Linked DNA regions of Mus musculus. The protein of the gene in region 1 purifies or fractionates together with the protein of each later gene. This does not show direct contact. Links are inferred from orthologs where the notes say so. Each region holds a gene or a part of one and is shown on either strand. Other genes may lie near its edges. The genes, in order: Ncl, Nap1l4 and Larp7.

Evidence for each region.
Region 2: the proteins of Ncl (region 1) and Nap1l4 fractionate together in Homo sapiens (co-fractionation; 3 studies listed by BioGRID). This does not show direct contact. The link is inferred for Mus musculus from reciprocal best matches to the Homo sapiens genes NCL and NAP1L4.
Region 3: the proteins of Ncl (region 1) and Larp7 purify together in Homo sapiens (affinity purification with mass spectrometry; 4 studies listed by BioGRID and IntAct, with this or other methods). This does not show direct contact. The link is inferred for Mus musculus from reciprocal best matches to the Homo sapiens genes NCL and LARP7.

Annotation. Positions count from the first base shown.
Region 1 is NC_000067.6:86,352,909-86,356,557, forward strand, and holds part of Ncl (nucleolin), read right to left. Parts: coding exon 3,648-3,649; intron 3,550-3,647; coding exon 3,463-3,549; intron 3,420-3,462; exon of another isoform or gene 3,352-3,419; intron 3,286-3,351; coding exon 3,144-3,285; intron 2,237-3,143; coding exon 2,112-2,236; intron 948-2,111; coding exon 824-947; intron 373-823; coding exon 218-372; intron 1-217. UniProt on the Homo sapiens protein: Nucleolin is the major nucleolar protein of growing eukaryotic cells. It is found associated with intranucleolar chromatin and pre-ribosomal particles. It induces chromatin decondensation by binding to histone H1.
Region 2 is NC_000073.6:143,546,568-143,550,316, forward strand, and holds the start of Nap1l4 (nucleosome assembly protein 1-like 4), read right to left. Parts: upstream 2,554-3,749; 5' UTR 2,475-2,553; exon of another isoform or gene 2,460-2,474; intron 2,380-2,459; exon of another isoform or gene 2,170-2,379; intron 1-2,169. UniProt on the Homo sapiens protein: Acts as a histone chaperone in nucleosome assembly.
Region 3 is NC_000069.6:127,550,523-127,554,271, forward strand, and holds the start of Larp7 (la-related protein 7), read right to left. Parts: upstream 2,828-3,749; 5' UTR 2,661-2,827; intron 1-2,660. UniProt on the Homo sapiens protein: RNA-binding protein that specifically binds distinct small nuclear RNA (snRNAs) and regulates their processing and function.

The DNA.
Region 1 (3,649 bases):
AAAATAGTTTAAGCCATTTAAAGTAGAAAACATACCCAACAAAAAGCTTTATTTGCCTACTATACTCCAAAGGAAATGATTTCAAATAGCTTTCACTCATGAAGACTAAACATCAGCTATATGAACAAAGGTGAACTAATTGTAGGTAACCAATTACTTAAAATACAAAGATACAAATGATTCCTGTTCCCACTACACAATAAACCCTTTAACTTACCACTCCAAGTGCTGGTCTTTCCAGTTCTCTCTTGCCTTTGACCTTTCTCTCCAGTATAGTAGAGTGAAACAGATCGTCCATCAATTTCTGCCCCCTGCTTTTCTTCCAAATTTTTCTCTGCATCAGCTTCAGACTTAAATTCAATATAAGCAATCCTGAAAGAGTACAAGACAATTCAGTTACTACGTTAGAGAAAATATTACTCAAGCATCAGTCATGAAGGACTTAGTCACATGTGCTTTTACTGTTCTTTTACTATGTATTAGCTCATCTTCATCCTTTAAACTGGTGAGGAGGAAAAAGAGCCAACACAATAGACTGAACTGCCTAGAATCACATTTCTCTCATAAAATAGGGAAGGATAGTACTTGTGGCAAAAGATGCCAATTTGGATTGAGCCTGTAAAATTGATCACAGCTTCAAAACCCATCAGTTGAGCATTTTTAATGTCAGAACTTGGGAGGTAGAGGCCAGAGGACCAGATATTCAATTTTCTGGTTATGAAGTTAAGTTTGAAGCAGCAGACTAGAGACTGTCAAGGACAAGGAGAGGGGAAGAAGACACTAAACTTAATAAAACTTTAACACTCAAAGACACAAAACATACCCTTTACTTTTCCCATCCTGGCTGACTAATCTGATCTCCATGGCGTCTTCAAACACTTCCTTTAATTCATCCTCAGTGATGTTGAAAGAGAGGTTTTTGGCTAGAAGTGTTCTTGCAGCTCGAACTATGTTGGAAAAAGATTTAATTAAGTACATCAATTTACAAGTCACAAGAGAATAAAGCAAATAATTCCTATAAAGTACAAGGATATATGCTAAAAAAAAAAAATGGTATAAAGGGATGGAGAGGTGGCTCAATGGTTACTAACCATTTGCATGAAGAGTACCCATGTTCAATTGTCACCTGATGACTCACAAACCCCTGTCCAGTTTCAGATGAGGCTCTCCTGGCTTCCCTGGACACCAGACTTATCTCCTTCCTACTTGTTTACATGTATATCATGTTCCTTAGACCATATGTATTAAGTTGTATATGGAACAAGTCTATTTAGACTTAGTTTCCATCTCTAAGATACCTCATCACTCATATGGTTCATTCTACATCAAAAGCCTAGATCCAGTAAGCATATAACATAGACTGCAGATTGAGCACACAGCAACCTTGTAAAATGAGCAAAAGGGGACAGAGGATATGTAGCAGTTTTAAGAGTGATTGCCTAGCAGGGCAGTGGTGACTCACGCCTTTAATCCCAGCACTTGGGAGGCAGGCAGATTTCTGAGTTCAAGGCTAGCTTGGTCTCCAGGACAGCCAGGGCTACACAGAAAAACCCTGTCTTGAGAAAAAAACAAACAAAAAAACCCAACAAATTTGCCTAGCATGTGAAAAGCCCACGTTCAATTTTCAGCACAACTAAGAAACAAACACTTAAAATCCAAATTCTGAAACTCAAAATATAGGGATCAAGAATTCATTTAAGAGATACGTAAGCTTCAAGCATGTCACGATACACATGTGGTCAGAGGATAAGCTAAAACTTTTTTTCCGAGACAGGGTTTCTCTGTGTAGCCCTGGATGTCCTGGAACTCACTCTGTAGACCAGGCTGGCCTCGAACTCTGAAATCTGCCTGCCTCTGTCTCCCAAATGCTGGGATTAAAGGTTCTTCTCTCTTCATGTGGCTTCTAGAGATCAAACATTTTGCAGCAAGCATCTTTACTCACTAAGCTATTCCTCCTGTCAGCCCTGACATTATATATCCCAGGAATCAAACCTGTCAACAAGCACATGACCTATGACATCTCATTGGTTCACAATGAGGATGAAACTAAGGAAGAGGCACCAGACTGCCTAAGTCTGTTAGTATCCAGTCACCCAGACCCCCTTACATACCTTTCTTACTATCTCTTCCTTTTGGTTTTTCTAGTTTAATTTCATTGCCAAACACTTTTAAACCAGTGAGCTCCAAGGCCTTTTCTAGGTCTTCAGCAGACTCAAAGTCCACATAACCAAATTTCCTTGAAGATGGAAAAAACAAGATTACAGGTATGAGAAGGTGATCTGCACTTATACCATGTGGCACACACACAGAGCATCTACAGCACTAACAAAAATAAAACTAGATCACCCTTATCTTCCATAAAACCAAGTCCAAAGGCTGGAGAGATGGCTCAGCGGGTAAGCACATTGACTGCTCTTCTGAAGGTCCTGAGTTCAAATCCCAGCAACCACATGGTGGCTCACCACCACCCATAATGAGACCTAATGCCCTCTTCTGATGCATCTTAAGTCAGCTACAGTGTACTTATGTATAACAACAAATAAATCTTTGGGCCAGAGCAAGCAAGGACTGAGAGCAGAGCGAGCTGAGATCCTAAAAATTCAATTCCCAACAACCACATGAAGGCTCAAAACCATCTGGACAGCTACAGTGTGCTCATATACATAAACAAATCTTAAAGAAAAAAAAACAAAAAACAAAACAAGTCCATGTACCAAGACATTACAACAAATTCACCTCGATTTCTTCATTCAGTATATTGTAACTAACAGCAGTAGCTAGCATGGACCCCGCTAAAAGTACAGAGAATACTTTTAGCTAAAAGCATATGACTATGCAGATCCATAGTTGTAGATACTGCACAAAATTTTATGTGTTTAATATCTTTTCTTCTTTAAATTTTATTTTATCTTTATCAAGTCAAACACAGGAACTTCAAATTGCAGGCCCTATGACTCGATGATTTAGTTCAATACTATAGTCTTTCTTACTGCAGCTCCTTAACTGTACTTAAGGCCACGAGAGGAGACAACTGACTTTTACTAACATAGTTAGATATAGCCCCATGTTTAAAGGCAGGGAAGAATACAACTGGAAAGTAAAAATTCTAGCTGATACACATGTAACATTCAATTAAAACTTACCTATTTGTACCAGTTCTGACATCCACAACAGCAAGATCATTTTTAGCAAAAAGTTCACTGATGGCAAATTTTAATTCATTAACAGACTTGTTTGGATTAAGGTTTCCAATGAACAGATTGAAAGGTGTAGTTGGTTCTGAGCCTGCACACACAAAAAATGAACTTTCAGCCCACTTAAGCACACAACAAATTTCATCATAAACTATAAAGCACATCAGCATATTTCATTTCAACCCCATGGTTCAGTATTAAGTCCCTTTGTCACTCATCACTTGTGCTAGTGCTACTCTGATCTGTTTCCCCAGTTTTGCAGGCTTACCTTCTACTTTCTGTTTCTTGGCTTCAGGGGCTTCTTTCTGCTTGGTCATCTCCTTCTTCCGTTTTCCAGGTGCTGCTTTAACAGGTTCTAGATGTTTTAAAATGCCATTCATGAGTAAGCAGACACTTTAGCATAGCCAGTAAGCCTTACTTAGGTCAGCATACTTTAAAAGTTAATATGGTTACCT
Region 2 (3,749 bases), on another chromosome or scaffold:
GAAGGAAGTCCCTGCTATTTCCCTAGTACCTTCCTCTACTTTGGCAATAGGTGCAGCAAGATGAAGATGACATCAGCTTCAATTCTAAATGCCTAAATGCACTTCATCTTTCTTGCAGTAGCGCTGGCTGGCCTTGAGCTTCCTGCTTCTACCTTTTAAGAGCTGGAATACAGATACAAGCCAACACACCCACTTACATTTCCTTTTAAGTAAACAAAAAAACCTTGTACTCACGGGCTAGAAGTCCCCAACAGCTCATTACTACTGCCTCTTTTTCAAAACAGGTCACCTGGGGCTGGATGCAAGCAGCAAAGAACTCACTGATGTGCCTATTTCACACTGAGAGTTGCCCTTAGACCTTCAGATTTAAACTACCCTTTCTTAAATTTCTAACTTATTTATGTGTATGGGTGGTTTCCCTGCTTGTCTGTGCACTACTTGCAGAGGCCAGAAGAGGCTGTTGGAACCCTGGGACTTAAGTTATAGACTATTAGAAGCCACCTTATGAGTATGGGACTCAAACCTAGGTCCTCTGCAAAAGCACACAATGATCTTAACCACCCCTAAATTAACTCTCTTGTCTAGGATTTTTTTTCTTCCAAAAACCAAAATTTTAGGTACTGGCAGTTAAATTTTTATACAAATACAACATAAACTTTTATACACAACATAAAGACAGCTAGCAGGGACAGTATACTTTCACTAACAAGAGGCAAACAGGAAAAAAAAAGTGAGATAGGATCTTGCTGTTTTTCCAAGACAGATTTTAAACAGTTCCAGAGCAGTTGGGAATCTAGGTGTATACTGCCATATCTATCTTAGCTGGGGCATTTTAAGACTCAAGTACAAAGTCAGACCAAAGTGGTGAACTACCTCATTTCTAAGAATACCACCCCTGCAGGAGATTTATTGCCCACTGGTATATTCTATATACTCAACTACACAAAGCCAAATGGCCAGCTCACAAGCCATGATTTCTGAGAAGATCCCAAAATACATACATTTTCCCCCAGAACTTTGGTAATACAATTCCAGAATTTTCAAAAAACGATAAAATCACTATTATTTTCACCAGCTATTCTATATTAACTGTGAAAAACAGTTCGGGATTTAAAGCTAAAACATCAAAATGTGTTTAAATGTTATGACACTGTGAACCAATATTGGTCAACTAAGGGGGGGGGTTGAGACCGACAACTGAGTTTTACAGCATCTACTTTAGTTAAAATGATACAGCTGTAGACTACCCGACAGGTGAACTATACTCTAGTCCTATCAAAGCCCTGCTTTCTCTGAATCTTACTGTTCATCTGAATATTTGTTTCAATACGTTATTTATTTAATAATAAACATTTATTATTAAAACTGAGCCAGATTAAATCTATTTGAATTTAGATGCAAGGTACCATCACACTTAACCTATCAGGGACTTAATTTGCAATACAGGTCGAATACTCCTATACCAAAAAAAAAAAAAAAAAAAGAAGAAGAAGAAAAGAAATCAGAACGTCCCAAAACCCACTTCTTTTCGAGCACATTTTGGATTTCCAGATTAGGTACGCTCATCTGTCAGACCTACAAATATTCCACAAACCGAACCACTTCAAAACCCAGGCGTTTCTTGCTAATGCACAGTCAGCCTGTTGCACCTACATCACGTACTATTGTGAATGAGTTAAGACACGTCAGGAGCTTAAAGGAGCCCCTGGTGTGTAGTAAGCGGAGATTAGTCACCGAGAGGAAGCAACTACTATGACAGGAAGGCGGCAGTAACTTAAAAGCATTTAACTTTTGGACCAAAAACTTAAACTTGAGTCTTTTTGCTGTGGAATATGCATATGCTCGTTACCGCAGCGCACGCGCCGGAAGCTACCGCGGAAATTCCTCCAAGAGGCAGCGAAGCAGAGTTGGAGGAAGTGCGGGCCAACTTGCCCCAAGGATACCCTCGGAAGAAGGGGTACTGCTGACGACCCTGAACCCGTTAGGGGCGCCCGGGTCTGAAGGCTCAGTGTGTGTCACTAGGCTGGCTCCGCCTCCACCGCAGGCTCAGAGAGTGAGGTCTGGCTCAGAGACCGGGGCACTGTGCGGAGAGCATGCAAAGCCCGGAAGGGCGAGGCGGCGGCCCAGTAGACCCCTTCCTTCCCAGGCGCGGTCTGAGACGAGGCGTACCCAGGCCCACCTCGCTGGGGAGGCCTTGTCCTCTCAAGGAACCGCCTGCGCCGCTTCGCGTGGGTTCTCGGGCGGCGGGAACAAAGCGCGCTGACCTTCAGCCGGGGGCGGGGCTGCACGGAGGAGGGACCGGCCCGCCATCCGCCGCCACCCGCCACCCGGACCTCTGACCCGGTCGCCGCCCGCCTCTGCTCGCCGCCATGGCGCGTCGGCCTGCCCGCGCCGCCCACTCCTCCCCGTCTCCGCCTCCTCCGCCCCAGTCCCTCGCCAGCCGCCCGCCGCGCCGTTACCCGCCAGCACCGCACCTCGCGCCTCCTGCGGCAGTGGCGCCTGTCCTAAGCTCGCTCCGGGGCTGCACCGCCGTGGTCGCCAACAAAACCACCTGCCATTGGCCGTATCGCCGGGCTCCACCCTCTGCGAGCAAAACGGGCGACGAATGGACAATAGAGCTGTTTATCAACTGCACCAGGCACTAGGAAAGGCGGTATCCAATCAAAATCTGTTGAGGGAGCACGGCGTCCAGCCTAAGCCCGCGAGCTATATGTAGTTAGAGTAGTGACGTGTGTTCCGGCGCACGCGCAGTTCGTGCTTCTTTAAAGGGGCTGCTGGGCGCGCGTGTAGGACTTTGGGCTTGTTACAACCTCTAGGGTTTGAGCTTCCTGGACCACATCGGCAACGCTCTTTCCAGATTACTTACAACTCCCTGCCTTCCCCCGGCCTGGGAAAAGCACCGCCTACTTCTCAAGGCCTTCTGACCCTCTGTCTACAGTGCCTGCCTGGCATGGGACTACCCTTCTGATAGAAAAGTTCAGCACATCTGTACTGGCTGGTTTTGTGTGTCAATTTGATACAAACTAGAGTTATCTGAAAGGAGGGAGCTTTGAGAAAATGCCTCCATAGGATCCAACTGTAAGGCATTTTCTCAATGATTGGTGGGAGAGGACCCAGCCCATTGTGGGTAGTACCACCCCTGGGCTTATTGGTGGTGTCTGTAAGAAAGCAAGCTGCACAAGCCAGTAAGCAGCACCCCTCCATGGCCTGTGCATCAGCTTCTGCCTCCAGGTTCCAGCCCTGCTTGAGTTCCTATCCTGACTTCCTTCAGTAATGAACAGCAATATAGACGTGTAAGCCAAATAAACCCTTTCCTCCCTAACTTGCTTTTTGGTCATGGTGTTTTCATTGAAGCAATAGACAACATCTGATAAGAATAAATAACTTGCTTGCAGATAATGTGTGTTTTCCTAACAAATTCTACGAACAGGGCAGTTGGAAACAAAGCTGGGTATGGTGCAACATGCATGCCTTCAATCCCAGTACTTCTGAGATAAGAGATACAGGTGACAGAATGAGCAGTTTGTCACTTCCAACTATGTAGCCAGTGTGGGGCCAGTCTGAGCAACATGCAACCCTGTCTGAAAAACAAAAACTTAAAATGAAGTGTGGTTACTGAAGGCCAGAAGGTCTACAGCATTGTTTTTCTGTATTACTTCTCTTTCATTCTTAAATTGGAACTATGTATAAACAGTTTCGCTTACAAAATTAAGGAAAGTAAATAAGCTCGTATGTTTTTACTTACATTT
Region 3 (3,749 bases), on another chromosome or scaffold:
CCGGTATACACGCATACATTCATACACACACACACACACACACACACACACACACACACACACACACGTATATTCCGGTATACACACATACATTCATACATACACATGTATATTACATAAGTTTAAAAAAAGACTCGCAGGCTGGAGAGATGGCTCATCAGTTAAGAGCACTGACTGCTCTTCCACAGGTCCTGAGTTCAATTCCCAGCAACTGCATGCTGGCTCACAACCATCTGTAATGGGATCTGATGCCCTCTTCTGGTATGTCTGAAGACAGCTACACTGTACTCATAAACAAAATAAATCTTAAAAACAAAAACCAGCCAGGTGTGGTGGAGCATGCCTTTAATCCCAGCACTCAGGAAGCAGAGGCAGGTGGATTTCTGAGTTCGAGGCCAGCCTGGTCTACAAACTGAGTTCCAGGATAGCCAGGGCTATACAGAGAAACCCTGTCTTGCCCCTACCCCCCCCCCCAAAAAAACAAAAAAAAAACCCCAAAAAACAAAACAAACAAACAAACAAAAAAAAACAAAACAAAACCAAAACCCAAAGGGGGAAAAGCTGCCATGGAAAACATGATGCCATGTTATTTTTACCAATCTTTCACTAAATCCTATCAATTTCATCTTTGAAATGGCTCTTACCCCCATTTAATGTTTTCTCCATCTGCTATTAGAATATGAGTTTATAATTGCACTAGAAGTCACCTATCCTTTACAGAAGTTTGTGTCACCTGTCCATAATACTCATATGGTTTATGATGGTTATATTTTATATTTTTGGGAGTGAGCCTAGCTTTTCATGGCTGAGCTATCTTTCTAGTCTGTGAAGGTTATTTCTAAACTTGAAACATTAGTGATTCTGATAAGTTTTTCTTTTTTCTTTTTTTTTGTAGTGTCATAAATATACTGCTAAATGAATGTGGTGATACACAACTTTAATACCAGTACTTGGGAGGTAGAGGCAGGTGGATCTCTGAGTTTGAGGCTGGCCTGCTCTGCAGAATTTCTGGACAGCCAGAGCTACATAAAAAATCCTGCCTCCAAACAATCAAACAAACAAACAAACAAACAACATCCACCCACAAAACTCACAGTCTTGGAACAAAGAAATTACTGTGAAGCAATGCCAGATATTTATATAGATAGATAGTTTTAAATCTTGACAATCCTACTTGGTCGTTTCTTTCCCCTTTTCAAAGGGAGGCTGAAAGGTTATGTAATTCAGTCAAAACTAGGTAGGTAAGCAAACCGAGGTGTTTGACTCTTACACTGTCTACCGTTTAGTAGAAGCTACACTCTGTCAGCATTCACACTATATTCTGACCCAGGAATTTCTTTTTTGGGGGGTGGTGGGTGGTGGTTTCAAGACAGGGTTTCTCTGTATAGCCTGGCTGTTCTGGAATTTACTCTGTAGATCGGGCTGGTCTCGAACTCAGAAATCCACCTGCCTTTGCCAACTCCCAAATGCTGGGATTAAAGGTGTGCGTCACCACTGCCTGGGCTGTCCCAGGAATTCTTCATCTGACCTCCCTGACACTTCTGGGAGTTTAAAGACATCTTAGGAATCCATGAGATGTTATAAGACAAACTTTTAAACAAAAGGTAAAATCATGCTTATACAAATATAAAGGAATATGGTAAATTTAAGTGGAACTAGTCTGTTTAAAGGAGAAAAGACCAGATCAATATGCAGCATAAAGTCAAAATGAATGTTAACATATACTGGTCAGGGGCAATGATTGGGCAAACATGGTTTTCATCTTTATGTTTTCAACAAGTTACAAAGTTGCAACACTGCCCAAAGACAGTGAATGTCACAGATAATCTGGAAGTAAGCTGTGCTAGATGTAAAGCAAAAGACCATTTTTTTTTTTTTAAATTTTAAATCAAAGGTTTTGTTTGTAAAATCACATACAAAATGTTTCCACAGGTACATGTAAAATTTTCAAAGGAACTCGACAATAATATTTTCCAGGCTTTAAACAAAAAGAAGAGTACCCAAAAGATTGAGAACCAAAGTTGTAGTCACGGCAAACCCTTTAGCGGTCTGGAACTTTGCTCCAAATAATCTTTTAGTGTGAATGTTTTATGAAGTCATTCGGTTTCCCACCACCGCCCGGCTTCGAAAGACTACTAAAAGGCAGTCTTACTTCTTGAGGATTTCCATTCTCAATGAACTCTCCACTCATATTTCTCCTTAATTTCTCATAAACGCACTCAGAACTTAAATTCATTACTGTTAGCCCCTTCTACAACGGCTTTTTCTATAGAGGGACTAGCAAAAAGAAAAGACTGAACTTTAGAATGCAAGTTCTCACAACTGATGTCCTTTGGGAAGACAACCTGCCTAACACCCACAGTTCCTCTGAGCAACCCTACTTCCGCACAGACTCCCCCCCCCCCCCCCCCCCGCAGCCGGGCGTGCCCCAAACACCCCAACCCCAAGCTCGGCCCGCCCCCTCTGTACTGAGCTCCGAATAGCAGGGGCCGCCAGGGAACTGCGCGTGCGCACAACGCACGGCGCCAAACCAACGGCACAGTGGCGACGGGGGCGGGGTGAGGCGGACCGCGGATGGAGGGTGGCCCTCAGGAGACCCGACTGAGAGGAGTTCCCACCTCTACGGGTCTGAGAGGCTCTGCAGGCCAGTAGTGACTTACTCCGTGCTCGTCCCCAGATCCACGGTCAGCGCTTGTGTTCTCCCACGCTTTCCTTCTCCCGACCCCTGCGGTCGGCGGAAATTTGCGTCATTCGAGTAGCGACGCGCTTCTCTCAGCCCGCTACGGAAAGACGGGTCCGAGGCCCAGGGTTCGTTGCTGACGTCATAGGCGGAGCATCTCGGGGGCGGGAGCCACGCGGTGACTGCGCTGGCACGCGGAGTTCCATTGGTGGTTTGCGAACGGCGGCGGGCGGGGCCTCCGCGGTACCGTCCCTGCTTGATGACGTCACTTAAGTTGGCGGGAGAAATTAGAAAGTGGAGTTTATGTCATTGAGCCGGTGAAGTGGAGACTTTTCTCTCCCGTGTTCTAGGCAAGAAGGGTGGACAGACCGGGCGACTTGGCGCGGTTGGGAGAGCACTGGACACTGACTCGCCTCCACGGAAGCGACCCACGAGGCGCCGTTAGAGTGCCGGGTGAGGCGGTCACCATAGCGGCCCATCCCGGTTGTGGGTGTTTTAGGGGCTGACATAGGACCAAGGGGGCCATTATTATTTAGTGATACAAAACCTTGAAGTGTCAAGGCTTGGCAAGTGAAGCTATGTTTCTTTTAGGGATCTGTACTGTTCCTTGTGGTTTAGCAGGCCGTTCGTGGTTTGGAAACTTTCCTGGTTTGAGCGGTGCTGTTCTGAGCTATTGTGACAGTTTTTCATCACTGCAGAGGGCCAGATAGAAACTGTTGTTGGGCTCCAGAGCTGGACTTCCTAACGTAATAGATCAAGAATAGGACCTAAAAGAATAGGACCTAAAATGTTCATTGCTAACTAATTGTCAGGTCATGTCCCTGGAACCACTTGAAGATATGTGTGCTTATGTGTGCTGCTTTTGCATCTGTATTCAGTTCACCATCGACGATTTCAAGATTTCAAAATTTGACCTTATAGTTAACATGGTAGTTACAGTGGCTGCTGCAGCACTGTCCAAGAGATTTTTCTTCCTGGGTGTGGTGGCATATTGCTTGTAATATCCCAGCTATTTCCAGAGGCTAGGACGGGATTGTGCAATATGGTCAGATCCTATTTTAAACAAACA